2 linked regions of the Alligator mississippiensis genome follow. The protein of the gene in region 1 purifies or fractionates together with the protein of each later gene. This does not show direct contact. Links are inferred from orthologs where the notes say so. Each region holds a gene or a part of one and is shown on either strand. Other genes may lie near its edges.

What was found.
Region 2: the proteins of PEX19 (region 1) and NAT14 purify together in Homo sapiens (co-immunoprecipitation; 3 studies listed by BioGRID and IntAct, counting the BioPlex papers as one, with this or other methods). This does not show direct contact. The link is inferred for Alligator mississippiensis from reciprocal best matches to the Homo sapiens genes PEX19 and NAT14.

The regions. Positions count from the first base shown.
Region 1 is NC_081838.1:21,135,031-21,142,559, forward strand, and holds the start of PEX19 (peroxisomal biogenesis factor 19), read right to left. Parts: upstream 3,332-7,529; 5' UTR 3,274-3,331; coding exon 3,228-3,273; intron 1,872-3,227; coding exon 1,765-1,871; intron 1-1,764. Other genes in the region: cilia- and flagella-associated protein 45, read right to left, coding at 6,059-6,206, 6,789-7,004, 7,274-7,529. UniProt on the Homo sapiens protein: Necessary for early peroxisomal biogenesis. Acts both as a cytosolic chaperone and as an import receptor for peroxisomal membrane proteins (PMPs).
Region 2 is NC_081828.1:84,026,984-84,034,386, reverse strand, and holds NAT14 (probable N-acetyltransferase 14), read left to right. Parts: upstream 1-4,300; 5' UTR 4,301-4,369; intron 4,370-4,376; exon of another isoform or gene 4,377-4,423; intron 4,424-4,563; 5' UTR 4,564-4,582; coding exon 4,583-4,663; intron 4,664-6,001; coding exon 6,002-6,547; 3' UTR 6,548-7,276; downstream 7,277-7,403. Other genes in the region: ZNF628 (zinc finger protein 628), read left to right, coding at 1-2,854. UniProt on the Homo sapiens protein: Probable acetyltransferase. May act as a transcription factor that regulates the expression of coproporphyrinogen oxidase by binding to a promoter regulatory element.

The DNA of each region.
Region 1 (7,529 bases):
TGCGAACAGGCTCTTGCAATAATTCCCAATTTAGCCTCAGACAGACACCTGGGCAAGAACAAACTAGACAGATCAACACTCCAAGTCTTCATAAAAGCCATCCCACAGGTACAGAACATTCTGGGAACAGCAAATGTCAAGTCCAGGCACGTCAGCTGGCCTGCATGGGCACACTTTCAGTCACAAGAGACCAGGCGGCAGAAAAGGCATACAGCTAGCATCTTTATCCCGATTTCACAAACAGGGAGGCTGCCTGCCTGTGGTCACAAAGAACCTGTAGCAGAGCCAAAACAGAAGCCAGGACTTCTGACGGCCAGATCTCGCTCCAGGAATCTGAGCTCAGCCCAGACCCTGCCACAGATGGATCCTAATGCATTTACCACAATGGGAAATATTTCTGGGGACACTTGTTGGCCCACCATGTTTGGAAGTCATGAACTTTACCCCAAGCACCTGCCAATTACTGAGCTTGACTGGACTGGGGCAGCTGTCATTGGACTCATCTTTCAACATGTGCCCCAGCAAATCGGAGGTGTAAATGCAAGACACAAGGGCATCCAGAGCCTGCTTCTGAGGCTGGCAATAAAACCAGTCAACTGCAATGACATGAGATTGAAGAGAAGTGGCTACTGAGCTACTGAGGTGCCTGGCTCCAGAACCAGACCATCCCACCCACCCACAGTTTCACAGTTGATAGGGTCGGAAGGGACCTGAGGAGATCATCTAGTCCGACGCCCTGCCATGGCAGGAAAGAGTGCTGGGGTCAAATGATCCCGGCCAGATGTTCCTTCAGCCTCCTTTTAAAGACCCCCAGGGTAGGAGCCAGCACCACTTCTTTTGGAAGCTGGTTCCAGGTCCTAGCCGCCCTGACAGTGAAATAGTGCTTCCTAATGTCTAGCCTGAAACTACCCTCCGCTAGCTTGTGTCCGCTGTTTCTTGTAACTCCCAGGATTGCTTGGGGGACCAGGGACTCTCCCAATGCCTGCTGGTCCTCCTTGACTAGTTTGCAGACTGCCGCCAGATCCCCTCTCAGCTTTCTCTTTTGGAGGCTGAACAGGTTCAGGTCCCTCAGTCTCTCCTCATAGGGCCTGCTCTGCTGACCCCTGATCATGCAGGTGGCCCTCCTTTGGACCCTCTCCATATTGGCCACATCCCTCCTGAAGTGCGGCGCCCAGAACTGGATGCAGTACTCCAGCTGTGGCCTGACCAGTGTCGCATAGAGGGGGAGGATCACCTCCTTGGCCCTGCTCGTGATGCATCTGTGGATGCACGACAAGGTACGGTTGGCCTTCCTGACCGCATCCCCACACTGTCAGCCCATGTTCATTTTGGCATCAATAATGACTCCAAGATCCTTTTCTATCTCAACACAGGTGAGAAGGGAGTTCCCCAGGCTGCAGGTGTGCTGCTGGTTCTTCCTCCCCAGGTGCAGCACCCTGGACTTGTCAGTGTTGAACCCCATCTTGTTCTCTTCGGCCCACCCCTGTAACCTGTCTAGATCTGCTTGCAGCCTGTTCCTTCCTACTAGTGTACCCACTTCACCCCACATCTTAGTGTCATCTGCGAACTTGAACAGGGTGCTTTCTACCCCCTTGCACAAGTCACTGATGAAGATGCTGAATAGTGCGCAACTGTCCCTGCACAACTGGGTGGGAGAAAATGCTACGTGTTCCCAGTTCAACAACTCTGCCCAAGCTTAAGACAAGGGAAATACTTCCCCGTACCCTTCCAGCCCATACAGCCATGGGTGGTCACTGCTCTTACTTTGGCAGCATCGTTAGGAGACTTCTCAGCACTGCTGGCATCTCCTGCTCCGGCAGTCGCTGGGGGTGGTGGGGCCGGCTTGGTCTTGTCAAAGTCATCAAGAGCACCTTCAGGGCAAAAGCAGAGAGCTCAGATGAGGGGATAAGACCACACAGGTCCCAGACAAGGGGGAGATAAGGGAAGTCAGACCAAGGCCACAACACCAGGGCAGTCCTGAGCAGCATGACATGGAGGAAGCCAGCCAAGACGTTTGCAGTTCACTACATGTCTTTGGATGTCACGTATAGAGCCATACTCTGCACCAGCGCCCAGCCAGTCCCTCGCACTGCTCTCCAAGCTAAGGGGATTCAGACCTGCTGCGGATGAGATGCAGCTTCAACTGGGGACAGAGGGATGTGAGCACACCGTCACCGACCTACGGGTGACATAACTGTTCCTTCAGTCGCACCAGCTGCATTTGAGCCTGAGCTGCCCAGTCGTAACTGCAGCCATCCCTGCACAACGTTCCCGAGTGAGGGGTGGTGAAAGGATTCAACTGGCTCCGAGTGAATACGACACAGCATTTGCGAGAGGATGCGACAGCCCCTGACCTCCACGGGGACTGCCCCGTGCTCTGAAATCCCACTCCTACTTTTAAATCAAGCTCTTCAGGCTCAGGCTGGCACCCCCGAAAAGGCCGCTGCAGAAGCCGGGACCCAGGCGGCTCAGCATCCCAACAGCCAAGGCGGGAGGAGCTGGCACGGCCACACGGCAGCTCCACTCCCCTCCCGAAGCACTTGGGCCCCTATTGCTTCGCTGGGGGGTGCTGGTCTCCGGGGACCTCTGGGTTCAAATGCTGCTGGCAGTCAGCGCCTTAAAGCCAGGTTCAGCTGCAGCACCTGGAAACGCCGACTGCTGCACCCACAGGAGGGGTTTGCCTTTCGGATGCTGGCGTCTGCTCTAGACCTCTGAGAGGCCCGTCGGACACCCCCTGCACACGGCTGACCAGGGCAGTGCTCCCAAGAGGCGCCATCGTGGAAACCGTGTCACACACACACACACACACACACACACACACGTGCCATTTGCACCTCTGCAAAGAGCCGTGTTTTTTAACCCGCGGCACGTGCGCGTGCCAAGAAGGGAACGTCTCTGATGTCGTGACAACGTCAGAGGCTGGCGTCTCTCCCATATGGCAACAAAACAAAGGCACAACAATTGCCTAGAGAAGACAGGGGGTGAATAGCTGCGGGGGGGGGGGGGGTGCAAAGAGGATGGGACCGCAGGGAGAACAACACAACCCTCTTCCTCGCGGGCCGGGCAGCCGAGCCGTGCCGTGCCGTGCCGTGCCGGGAGGGGGCACAAAGACCCGGCTCGGGGGAGGAGAAGGAGGCCCCTTCCCGCCCCGCTCCCGCACCCGGCGGCCCCCGCATGTGAAGAAGGAAGTTCCCGCAACCCTGAGCCCCGGCTCCGCCCGGCCTTACTGTCCAGCAGGTCGTCCAGCTCCCGGTCCGGCCCCGCCGCCGCCATCTTGCCGCTGCCTCCCCAGCTGGGCGGAGCTACCGCAGACCCCGCCCCCCGCCTCGTTCTGAGCTCGGCCGGCTTCCTGCGCCCGTGTGGGTGGGATGCGGCCCCGCGTGCGGCGCGCGTGCGCCCCTGGTGGGCGGGGGCGGCGCTGCCTGGGCTGACCCGCTCCGGGCGTCCAGCTCTGCGCAGTCCGCAGCCTCGGTTGCGCTTCTTGCGCTTTACTTCTTGCCCTGTCCGCTGGACTAGGCGCAGCGCTGTACAACGTTTCGAGTTGCAACGTTTCCCACCTACAACGTTTATAAACGGACGCCCTGTTTCAACTTCTGACCTCAGTTGCGACTTTATGGCACTTGATCCGACACGACGCCACGCCGGCGAACAAGTTCACTGCGTCGCTCAACTCATCTGTGCAAACTTCCTTGGACTCTTTCTTTAAGAAAGCAGGTGAGACTCCAGAAAAACCTGCCGCCGGGACTCCTGAGAAGACACAGCAGCCGAGAACCCTTCAAAAAGTCCAGCAAAGTCACCTCAAAGAAGTCCTTCCAAGTCCATGTGAATCCTATTAACCATGTACATGCACTACAGGCTTAAGTACCACCAGCAAATTTTTCATACACATAGGTAACAGGCTGTGTATTAATACAACATCAAAACCTTTAGTAATCATAAAACATTGTTTTACCGGTTACGGTAGCCATATAAAACAATTGTAAATTGGAAAAAAAGACGGTGTAAACCAGGGGTAGGCAACGTTTTCGGCCAGGGCACTGAAAAAAACTGCTTTGTGTATGCTGTAAGGTGCCAGAGTGCCGACACCCCAGAAAAACAAACCTGGGGTGGGGGCTGCATGGCAGGACACACTGCAGATTAATATAGTTAATAATCATAAATGTGGCTGCTTCTTCTTTTTTTTTTTTTACAGTAAATAGCAGGTTTTCTCAAAATTCTAAACCTGGTGACAATAAATAAAACCTCATGTGCTACCTTTGTTCTTGTGTCTTCTTTTTTGTTAAGCACATTGTGATGAGAGAGAAGGAAGAGAGAAGAGAGATGGGGGAGAGAGAGAGGAGAAAGAAAGAGAAGAGAGAGAGGGAGGGAAGAGAGAGATGGAGAAAAAAAAGAGAAGGGAGAGGCATGGGGAGAGCAGGTGTTGGGGGGGACAGGGGAGGCAGTGCAGTCAGGCTGGCCTGGCTGGCCCTTGGGAAGGCTGCAGCCAGATGAGCAGGGGCCAGGTGGGGAGCAGGGGCTCCCCTGGGGCTCCACCGACTCGGGCTGCAGGGGGGATGCTCAGCAGTACCGGAGGTGGGGCCCAGCCCAGGCTGTGCAGCCCCACGGGGATGGGTCACAGCCACCCTGCCCACAAGGGAACGCTGCCTGGCCGGGGCAGGACACCAGGCTCGGGGTTCTCCTGGCTTGGGCTCTGTGCATGCCAGGTGCAGCACAAGTTGGACAGAGCCCCCTGGGCCACAGCATGGACTCCGTGGGCTCCGGAAATAGCCGCTGCAGGCAGTGCTCAGAGCTGAGCCGCCTGGGAGCCTGCAGTGCAGCCGCCCCCGCGCAGCACCTGCCCTGGCCCCAGCCCCTTGAGGGCAGTTGCAGGTGGGCAGGGCCAGGGCTCAGGCAGGCTGGGGCAGCTGCAGGCAGCTGTTCCCAGGTGCTCCCGTGGCCAGGCCCTTGCAGCAGGGATGGCTCTGCCCTGCTCGCACTGTGCCCAGTGTGCAGGGAGGCCAAGCCCAGAGCTGAAAGCCCCCCTGAGCCAGGTGGCATCCCCTCGTGGAGCTGCACGGGCCCAGCCAGGCCCCACCTTCGGTGTCGCTCTGCACCCCCACCCGCCTGCCACAGTCAGCCTGCAGAGCTCAGCGTCATATCCCAAGCCCATTTTTATCTTGCCTGGGATGACATAGGCTTTGCCGGGGCATCAGGGAGACTCCCACCTGTGTGCACCCCAGGTTAGGCACAGGGGCTACCTGCCCCCCCAGATTTATATGTGGGGTGGGGGCAGCTGCTGCTGCATGCTGGGGTCTGAACATGGGGAGCCGCACACGACACCACGTGCCTTCTGTGGCCGGGCAGCCAGCGCATGGAAGGCAAGTGCAATCCTCTGTGATCGTTCAGGAAATGCTCTAGTGTCTTGTAGCCGTATGTGGTGCTCTATCCCTATGGCCAACCCCATGTCTCATTCGTGGAGCAAGAAGACCTTGGGCATAGCACTAAGTTTCTGCTGTAATGGAGCCTTGCACTCCAGGGGCACCAGTGAGCCTCCAAAATAAACCTGGGCGAGGTCCAACTCTCCTCCTTCAGTGGGACACAGTGGCAGCAGGGCCTGCTGATACCCCTCACTCCTGACCTGCAGCCCCCTGCCCCCCCAAGCCCTGCTGCCCCCGAAGAACCCCTCCGCTCCCTTCCCCCACTCTGCTGCAGACCCAGCACTGGCAAGCACGCCCACGCACACATGCACACACACACACGCACACCCTCTCTCTCTCTCAGCATGTGTGGGCACACACACACACACACACACACACACACACACACACACACATGCTTTCTCTCTCTCAGCTGCCTGCGGCTGCATGTGATGCCCTGCCTCCAATCACCTTTCCCCGCTGTCCCCAGCAACTCCTTTGCTGGGGCAGAGGTAAAGCAAAATCCTGGACATTTGCTGATATTTTAAAAAAACACCCAGATGGGGGCATCCAAAAAGTGGACATGTCCAGGAAAACCCAGACGTATGGTAAACCTTCACAAACATTTATTTACAATTTCTAAATCCAAGAATATAAACAGTCTAGGCTGGGGGCAGGCCACACATGACCCCCTGGAAGTCCCCTGGCATGGGCTGGGCAGTGCGCAGAGACCCTCGGTCCTTGGGGCCTGGCTTCATCAAGCCCACGCACTCCACACCTAGGCAGTATTTCTCGGGTGGGCTGGTGGCTCTGGAAACAGGAAAAAAACTAGTAAGAGCCCAGACCACTGCCATGGAGCAAGACATGGTACAGGGCCACCTGCCATGGCATCTCCATCTGTGCCAGGGCCCAAAGCCAGCCCCAAGGGGCTCAGCAACACATCTGGCACCTTGGCCCCCCGGGACCAGGGCTGACTTGTGACAACAGGTGACGGCTGAGCCCAGCTGGAGGGACTCTGCTCTGGCTTTGCTCCCATGGGGACAGCCAGCCCCCAGTGAGCACGGGAGCATGGAGGGCAGAAACGAGGCTCAGAGTAGGTGGCAGGAAGGGCAGCTTGGTGCAGCACCCAGTAAGGTGAACTGCCTCCCGCCCTCCCAACCAGCTCCCACCACTGGCCTGGCCAGTCCTGCTGCAGCCGTCCTGCCCTTAGCCCAGGGCCTGGGCCCCCTGCCCTGCTCCCGCACCAGCTGGCAAGTCTCAGGGGCTCAGCTTGCCCTAGGACATGGCAAAGGGAGAGACAGCATGAGTTGTGCCAGATGTGGTGGGCGACGCCCCAAGACCAGCACCCCTGCAAGCACCCACAGTCCAGCCCCTACATAGTCCCACCCTCACCGGAGCTCCTCTATCCTCTGCCTCTTGAGCTGGGCAATGTGGTCAGCATGCCACTGTCTCTCTTTCTGTAGATGCTTCTTGTCCTCAAAGGAGACAACCCGCTCACATGCCAGCTTCTCCTGATACTTCTGCATCTGGTGCTGAATGTCCTTGGCATCCACCATTCTCTGGGTCGCCCACTTCTCCTGCTGCCTCTGCTCCTTCAGTGCCTGCTCCCTGGGGGAAATGCCAGTGCTGGTGATAGGGGCCAGCCCAGGCTGGAAAGACCATGACCTTCCTGCTGGGGCTGGCCCACCCCCTCCCGCATACATGGGGTCCTATGTCTACCCGAGCCAGGTTGTCTCCACTGCAGCTTGTGCACCCCAGGCTCAGCCAGAGCTGCAGAGGGCAAGCCTGATGTGCCCTAGCTTAGTTCCCCCACAGGCACACTCTCCAGGGCCTGCAACCCCACTGTCATCCTGGGGCCAGGCCACGCCTCGCACTACCTGAGGATCTGCTGGAAAGAGCTGCGGTTCTGCTGTGCCTGTATGACCGAGGCACGCTCCAAGTGGCTCTGCTTCAGCATGGCCTCCATCTCTCTGTACAGCCACTCCGTCTCCTTGGCCTCCTGATGCTGCTTGACCCGGAGAGCATCCTGCCAGGAGGGAAGCATTGATTGCACTGCCCAGGCAGCAAGAAGCCAGGTGGAGATTCTGCTCCTGCTGCCCCAGGGAGCCAGCCCCAACCCTTGGGCTGCCATTG
Region 2 (7,403 bases), on another chromosome or scaffold:
CACTGACTGTGGCAAGGCCTTCAAGCGCTCCTCACTGCTGCAGATCCACCAGAGCGTGCACACCGGTCTGCGCTCCTTCAAATGCACCCTTTGCGGTATGGCCTTCAAGTGGTCCTCACATTACCAGTACCATGTGCGCCAGCATACAGGTGAGCGCCCGTATAAGTGCACCACATGCGAGAAGGCCTTCAAAAACTCATCCAGCCTGCGGCGTCACCGCAACATCCACACAGGCGAGCGCCCCTATGTCTGCACAGCGTGCGGCAAAGCCTTCACCCAGTCCACCAACCTGCGGCAGCACCAGCGCATTCACACAGGTGAGCGCCCCTACAAGTGTGCTGACTGCACCAAGACCTTCACCCATTCTTCCAATCTCCTACTGCACCAACGCACCCATGCCAGCAGCCGGGCCCACAAGTGCCAGGCTTGTGGCAAGGCTTTTGTCTCGGAGACCTACCTCCAGAAGCACCTGCAGACGCATGCGGCTAAGGCACCGACCGCTTACGGTGAGGCCGAGCTGGCCTGTGCACCAACTGAGCTGTTTTTGGCTGCTGCCGCAGAGGCAGTAGAAACTGTGGAGATGCTATGGAAGTGTGGGGACTGTGAACTGACCTTCAAAAGTGAGGAACTGCTGTTGGGCCACCAGCAGAGCCACCTGGAGGCGGCCCCGCCTCTGCCAGCTGAGGAGCTGCCTGTTGCACCACTCTACACCTGCCCCACCTGTGGCAAGGCCTTCAAAAATGGGTCAGGGCTGTCACGGCACCAGCACAGCCACACTGGTGAGCGACCCTACAAGTGCTCCATCTGTGAGAAGACCTTTGTGCAGCTCTCCAACCTTCTGGCACACCAGCGCACACACCCTGCTGAGCAGCAGCTCATTCAGGCTGAGGCTGAGGTCACCTGCCCTCAGTCAGCAACTGAGCCTTCCCCAACTCCGGCCCCTGTTCTGGCCCCAGCCCCTGCTGAGGCAGCTGAGCGCCCCTACAAGTGCACAGAGTGTGGCAAGGCCTTCAAAGGCTCATCAGGGCTGCGCTACCACCTGCGAGACCACACTGGGGAGCGCCCCTACAAGTGCTTGGAGTGCCCCAAGGCCTTCAAGCGCTCTTCACTGTTGTCTATCCACCAGCGTGTGCACACTGGTTTGCGTGCCTTCAAGTGTGCTGAGTGCGGCCTCACCTTCAAGTGGTCATCGCATTACCAGTACCACCTACGCCTGCACACAGGTGAGCGCCCCTACAGCTGTACCGACTGCGGCAAGGCCTTCAAGAACACTTCCTGCCTGCGGCGCCACCGCCAGCTGCATACTGGTGAGCGCCCCTTCACCTGCCTTGTCTGTGGCAAGGCCTTCACACAGACCTCCAACTTGCGGCAGCATCAGCGTACTCACACAGGTGAGCGTCCCTACACCTGCCAGCAGTGTGGCAAGACCTTCACCCACTCCTCCAACCTGCAGCTGCACCAGCGAACTCATTCTAGTGAGCGCCCCTTCAAGTGCCCTGTCTGTGCCAAGGGTTTCGTCATGGCCTCTTACCTGCAGCGCCACCTCCGCACGCACGCTACCGAGGCAGGTACCCCTGAGGCCAAGAGTGAGATGCCAGCCCAGGGCCTTCCACTCACACCCAGCACCCAGGAGGTGCACATTGTGCCCAACCTGCAGGCCACCCTCAATCTAGAGGTGGCTAGCCCACCCAGTGCCCCTAACTCCCAGACCTTCCTGCTGGTGCAGACAGCACAGGGCTTGCAGCTGATCCCCAGCATCCAGCAGAGCCCCCAGAAGCTGATCCTCCTGCCCAGCCCGCAGATGGTGTCCCCACACCAGAAAGTGCCCATTCTTCAGAGTACCCCCAACATCACCCTGATGCCCAGCAGCCCCACAGTTCCCAGCAAGCCACCCCCCCGCCGGCAGGGCAAGGCCAAGAAGCAGGCTGCCCCCAGTAACCCCAACCCACCACAGCCTGGCCAGAACATCATTCTGGTGCCAGCCAGCGGGCAGGCACTGCCTAGCATGCAGATCCAGACTTTGCCAGGATCTCAGCGGGTGCCAGGGCTCCAGACCGGGCAGAATGTTATTGTGCTGCAGAACATGCCTGAGCAGCCCTCTGCTGAGGTAACTAATGTCCAAGTCCAGGGCTTGCCACAGCCCCCTGAGGTGACTGGCATCCCAGCCTTGTCGCAGCCTCAGGACGTGACCAGCATCCAGATCCAGGCCCTGCAGCAGAGCTCCCTGGAGGCAGAGGAGGCTCAAACTCTTCCCAGCTCCCATGAACTGTCCAGTGCCCAGCTCCCTGCAGATGCTGGGCAAGAGATGGCAGACCTGCCAGAGGGCCAGGACCTGATTGTGGTGCAGAGCGCACAGAGTGATGACTTGCTGGGGCCAGGGACTGAAGTGAGTGGCCTAGAAGGGGTGCAGGATGTGCACCTGGAGATGCTGCAGACGGCTGAGGGACTGCAGAACGTCTTGGTACTGCGTGGTGCTGATGGGGAGCAGACCCGCTTCTGTGTGCAGGAAGTGGAGAACCTACCAGAGCTGCCCCCAGAGAGCGGATCAGGGGCCCTGACGGCTCCTGGGGGGCAGAAGCTCTTCATCATCCGCAGCACTCCCAGTGAGCAGACCCTGCAGGTCCTGGAGAACGTGTCAGGTCTGCAGGCACTGCCAGGACTCCCAGGCCCCAATGTGGGACAGCTCCCCCTGCAGGCACGGGGGGTGCCCAACAGCCCAGGGAGTGGCCAGCCCTCCTCTGGCAACACCCAGATGGTACAGCTGCTGCCAAGCCCAGTGCCACCTCCCCAGGAGCTGCAGTCCATCCAAATAGTGCAGACAGTGCCCAGTGTGCAGCTGGTTCATACCTTCTGAGTCCCATGCACCTGGCCTTGCAGGTGCCTGCCTTGCCCTGCTGGCCAGTACTGTGCCAGCGCATGTTGAACTTGGGGTGAATGTCCCCTCCTCTACTGTCATGCCATGTACTACAGACACTGTCCAGCTGGCTGCAGCAGAGGGCTCTGGGTTGCCTGATGAGCGCAGGCAGCCCCTGACTGCCTTTCCAACCTTGGCTGTAGCCTTCCAAGGCATAGGGCTGGTAGGACCTGACATCCATGTCATCAGAGCTGAGTCAGTTCTAGCTGGGCGTGGGATTGTGTAGCTGGGCTCCAGTTGCAAGGCGCTGTTTGCCTGTCCCTGAGCAGAGGTGCAGTGGGAGCTGGCCTGAGTGCTTCCCTAGCCTTGTCTAGCTGGACTCCAGTTGCAAGGCGCTGTTTGCCTGTCCCTGAGCAGAGGTGCAATGGGAGCTGGCCAGAGTGTTTCTCTAGCCTCTGCTCACTTCTAGTGTTTGAGCCTCTTCCAGGGCTGGGAGGAGAGTGGGGTCCAGAGGTCCAGAGCAGGCTACCTCAGGAACCAGGACTCCTAGGTTGTGTCTTGGCTCTGCAGGGGAGGAGTGAGTGGGTAGTAGGTTTGCCCAGGATTCCTGGGTTCTTTTCCTGACTGTCTGCCTTGCTAGGCCACCTTAGCTAAGTCTCTTCTTAGCTGCAGGAGGGGCCAGTGCTGTGAGGCTGCATGTGTACACGCAAACATGCTTTTCTCTTGGGGGAGGGGCCTGGGTGGGCACAGCTCTGCCTGCTGATCTGTGGAAACCCATTGCTCTCCCAGGCAGGAGATGGCATTGTGGCACAAGGGAGCAAGTGCAATGGTCTCCCAAGCCATTAGGCACCACTTCCCTGCCACCCAGATGCTGCCCTGAGCCCCCTGGCTGGGTTGGATCCTATCTCTTCCATAGTGACACCTGGCACTGCTCCCCAAAGGACACAGCTGCTTCAGCCCAGGCGGCAAATAAAGGACTGCTTATGAAGGGTCTGTGCCTGGTTTACTCAGTTTGCCGGGAGCGAGCTGTAGTGGCCCGAAGTGGGGAGCAGGGGTGACTGGAACAGAGGGCTGCCGGGAAAGGGCTGGGCTGAACTGCCCACCGGGAGGAGGAGGGATCCCCTCGGGGAGCAGCCTCTCTACCTGCCCCGTTCGGGGCGCGGCGGGCAGCCGGCGGGGTGGCGCCCCGCACAGCCAACCCGGCCTCGGGCAGGCGCCAAGCTCCCAGGCAGGGCCGGGTCGGGGCAGGGATCCCGGCTCAGCCGCAGGGGAGGCGGGTGGAGGGCAGGGTTGGTGGTTGTGAGGCTACCGGCGTACCCCCTCCACGCTCGCTGACTGCAGCGCCCTAGCCCGGCTCCGAGCAGCTGGGCCGCAGCACACGCTCAGCGCCATAGTGCGGGTGCCCCTCCCTGGTGCTAGAACAGCGGAGTGTGGGCGGGGCCGGGAGGGAAGCGGCCGGTGGGCGGGCTGCGCAGGCGCAGTGGGAGCGGCCGAGTCGGCTGAGCGCCAGGGAGGGTGAGGCTGCTCGCGGGCCCCGGGCGGATCCATTCATCCGGCGCGGGGGAGGCGGTTGGTTGAGGCTCCGTTCCGCGGAGCTGCCGGCTGTACCATTGGGGGGGCGGGCCGCCGGGTCCCTCCCCTGTGCTTCGCGCGGGGGCGGCCTGGTTCGTCCGGGCTCCGGCGCTTACCTGCCCGTCCTTGCCCCGCAGGGCCCGCCTGGCTGCCACGATGCCCGTGCTGGACCTTGCCCAGCTCGCCGTGCGCAGAATGCGGGAGGAGGAGGCACCCATCGTCCTGGAGCTGCTGAAGGTCTCCCTGGGGGTGGGGGCGCTCTGGTAGCCGGTTGCTGTGTCTGGCCAAGCTCTGTCCCTGGCTCTGCCCATAGTACCTGCCCCCAACTCTCTCCCCCTCCCCCAGTAACCAGCCCACTTCGCCACCTGCTTGTCCCTGGTGCCAGGGCCCAGGCATGGGCAGAGACAGTGACCCCAAATGGAAGAGTCCATAGACCTGGATGGGGTGAGAGCCAGCAGGGCAGAGGTGGGGGCCAAGCTGGGGTGCAGGATCCAGGCCCTGTGGGGATGCCAGACACCTGCCTTGCACCGCAGCAGCAGGGAGCAAGGCAGGACCAGCCAGGCGCCCCAGGGTGGAAGCTCTTTGCCCTGTGGCTCATCTCTCAGTCTGGGCCAGAGCCAAACAAGCAAAGCAGCTGGACAGGCAGCTGCTCAGCCCCAGCCAGGGTTGCCTCCAGGACCCAGGATTTCTGCATGGTCTCCCCTCCACCTGCTAACTAGGCCCAGCACTGTTTAGCTTTTGAGTTTAGACAAGATTGGGTGCATTCAGTCAGGTACGGGCACCTCCAGTGGGGGCCTCAACCTGGAGCCTTGCTTGTATTGGTAAGCTGTGGAGACTGAGCCCTTACAGCAGTGACTCACTACCAGGGTGCTGGCACACTGTGTTAGGAGATGAGGTGTGGGGAGATAATTGGATATGGGCAGGCTCAGGCTCTCCCTGCCTGGCTGCTCCCCTGCCCACACTACTTAGTCTGCCAGCAAGGAGGTAAGTACTATAATACATGTATTAGTTTTTAAATGGGGCGCCTCTCAATTCACAGAAGTTATTGAGGGGCGCCTCAAGTCTGATGAGTGGCACCTTTAGGCTAAAAATGTTGAAAATCACTGCCTTACAAGTCATCTGCTCCAGCCCTCCAAGGCCCAGGAGTCCCCTACTCTAATCCCCTGGGTCCCCTTCCTGTCACCAAGCTAGCAGTAGAACCCAGGATTTCTGACTTCTACCCATCTCCCTAAAATCAAAGGCAGCCAAGCTTCTGCCTGTGTCTTGTGTCTTGTACTTGTGACAGAAATACTGGATTGAGGTCCTGCCTCCCTTGCCTTCCCAAACTGCCTCTGAACTCAGCAAGCTCTACTGCTGGGGGCATTTTCCTTTCCACCTAGGTGCCCCTTACTCCAGCCTGGGGTACACCCTTCAGGAAGACTCTGGCTCACCTACAGCTTTGGATTGAGCCACATTCTATGCTCTCTGGGCCTGGCGCAGCCCAGCTGGTGCCGTCACCTGTGCTGCCTGGACAGTGTGCCCCTCCCTGCCACACCATGGTCCCTGCCCATGCTCATGTTGCCCTCCCCTCCACAGGATGGCTTTAAAGACACAGAGAACCGGCTGATCCTGTATGTCCTGACACGACCCCTGGTGCTGCTGCTCATGGCTGTAGTGAGCAGCGCCCTCCGCTTCCTGCTCAACTCTTTTGTGGCTGCTCTGTTGGTGCCTGTGTTGCTCACCATTGTGGCCCTCAAGCTGCTCCTGTGGCGGTCCGCTGACCTCCACTGCCTGCATACCTACTACTGTGGGGGCCAGCGGGGCCTCTGGGTGGCGGTGTACGATGGCGATGATGTGTGTGGATGCGTGGCACTGGAGCCCTGGGACCAAGGCCCACCTCGCGCAGCAGAACTAAAGCGCCTGGCTGTCAGCCGCTGGTACCGGCGATCTGGAGTGGGCCGGCACCTGCTGGCCTTCCTGGAGGCACAGGCCCGAGAACAAGGCTATGAGCGTGTCGTGCTCTATACCTCAGTAGTCGCCAAGGCTGCCATGAACCTCTTTGAGAGCTGTGGCTACCAGGCAACTGGCGGGCGAAGCTGGCTGGGCTACACCGTTGTGCAGGAGTTCAGCAAGGAGCTGTAGCATCTGCCCCTACCCGGCGCCCTCCTGACGGTGGGGTAAGAGGGGCCAGCTGGGGCTTCTCCATCCTCCACTGCACCTCGGAGAACTTGTACAAGGGGATTCAGGGAGCATCTGTGAACAGTCCAAGGCCTCCACACTCAGAGGACAGGGGGCACCACCTTTGAATGTGTGTGCATACAAGGGCCTTTCTGAGTGTGCTTCCATGGGAGTTGGATGTCATCAGGTGGATCCTGCTATGAGGGCCCAGGCAATGTGTAATATGCTGGGGCTGATGCTGAGGCATGGAGCAAACACTAGGAAATGCTTGTTGGGAGACAGTAACCTCCTGCCAGCAAAGTCATGGCTCATGGCATGCCTAGAGAGAATGGAAGAAGCCTGTGAAGCATGGACTGGGAAGGACTGTTTCTTGTGATGTGGGCCTGGGGGCACCCCTCCTTCCCTAGGGGCTATCCCATCCCAGAACAGCCTTCTACCATGCATAGGCTTGGCTGGGACTAGGAAATGTGAATGAGGGGGTGGGCAAGGAAATGGTGCCCAAGAGTCTAATGCCCATCCCCATCGTAGCTGTGACTGAAGGTTGCTTTTGGAGACAAGGAGGCTGCACATAGGCTCCAGTAACTGCAGTGGCATCTGGCTTGGTTCTCAGAGCTGCTGAGCATTTCTGTCACCCCTAGCATTAGGCCTGTGTGTGTATTTGAACGTACGTGTGAATAAAGCGTGTTGTAGTGACTGCTTCACCTGTCTACATGCTGGGATGGGCCTGCCCTCAGTCAGCCTCCAGCTGGACAGGGATCTATGACTGTGAGGAGGCTGGGGCCCCCTTTACTCCTGACAGGGGTGGATCTGGCACACAGAG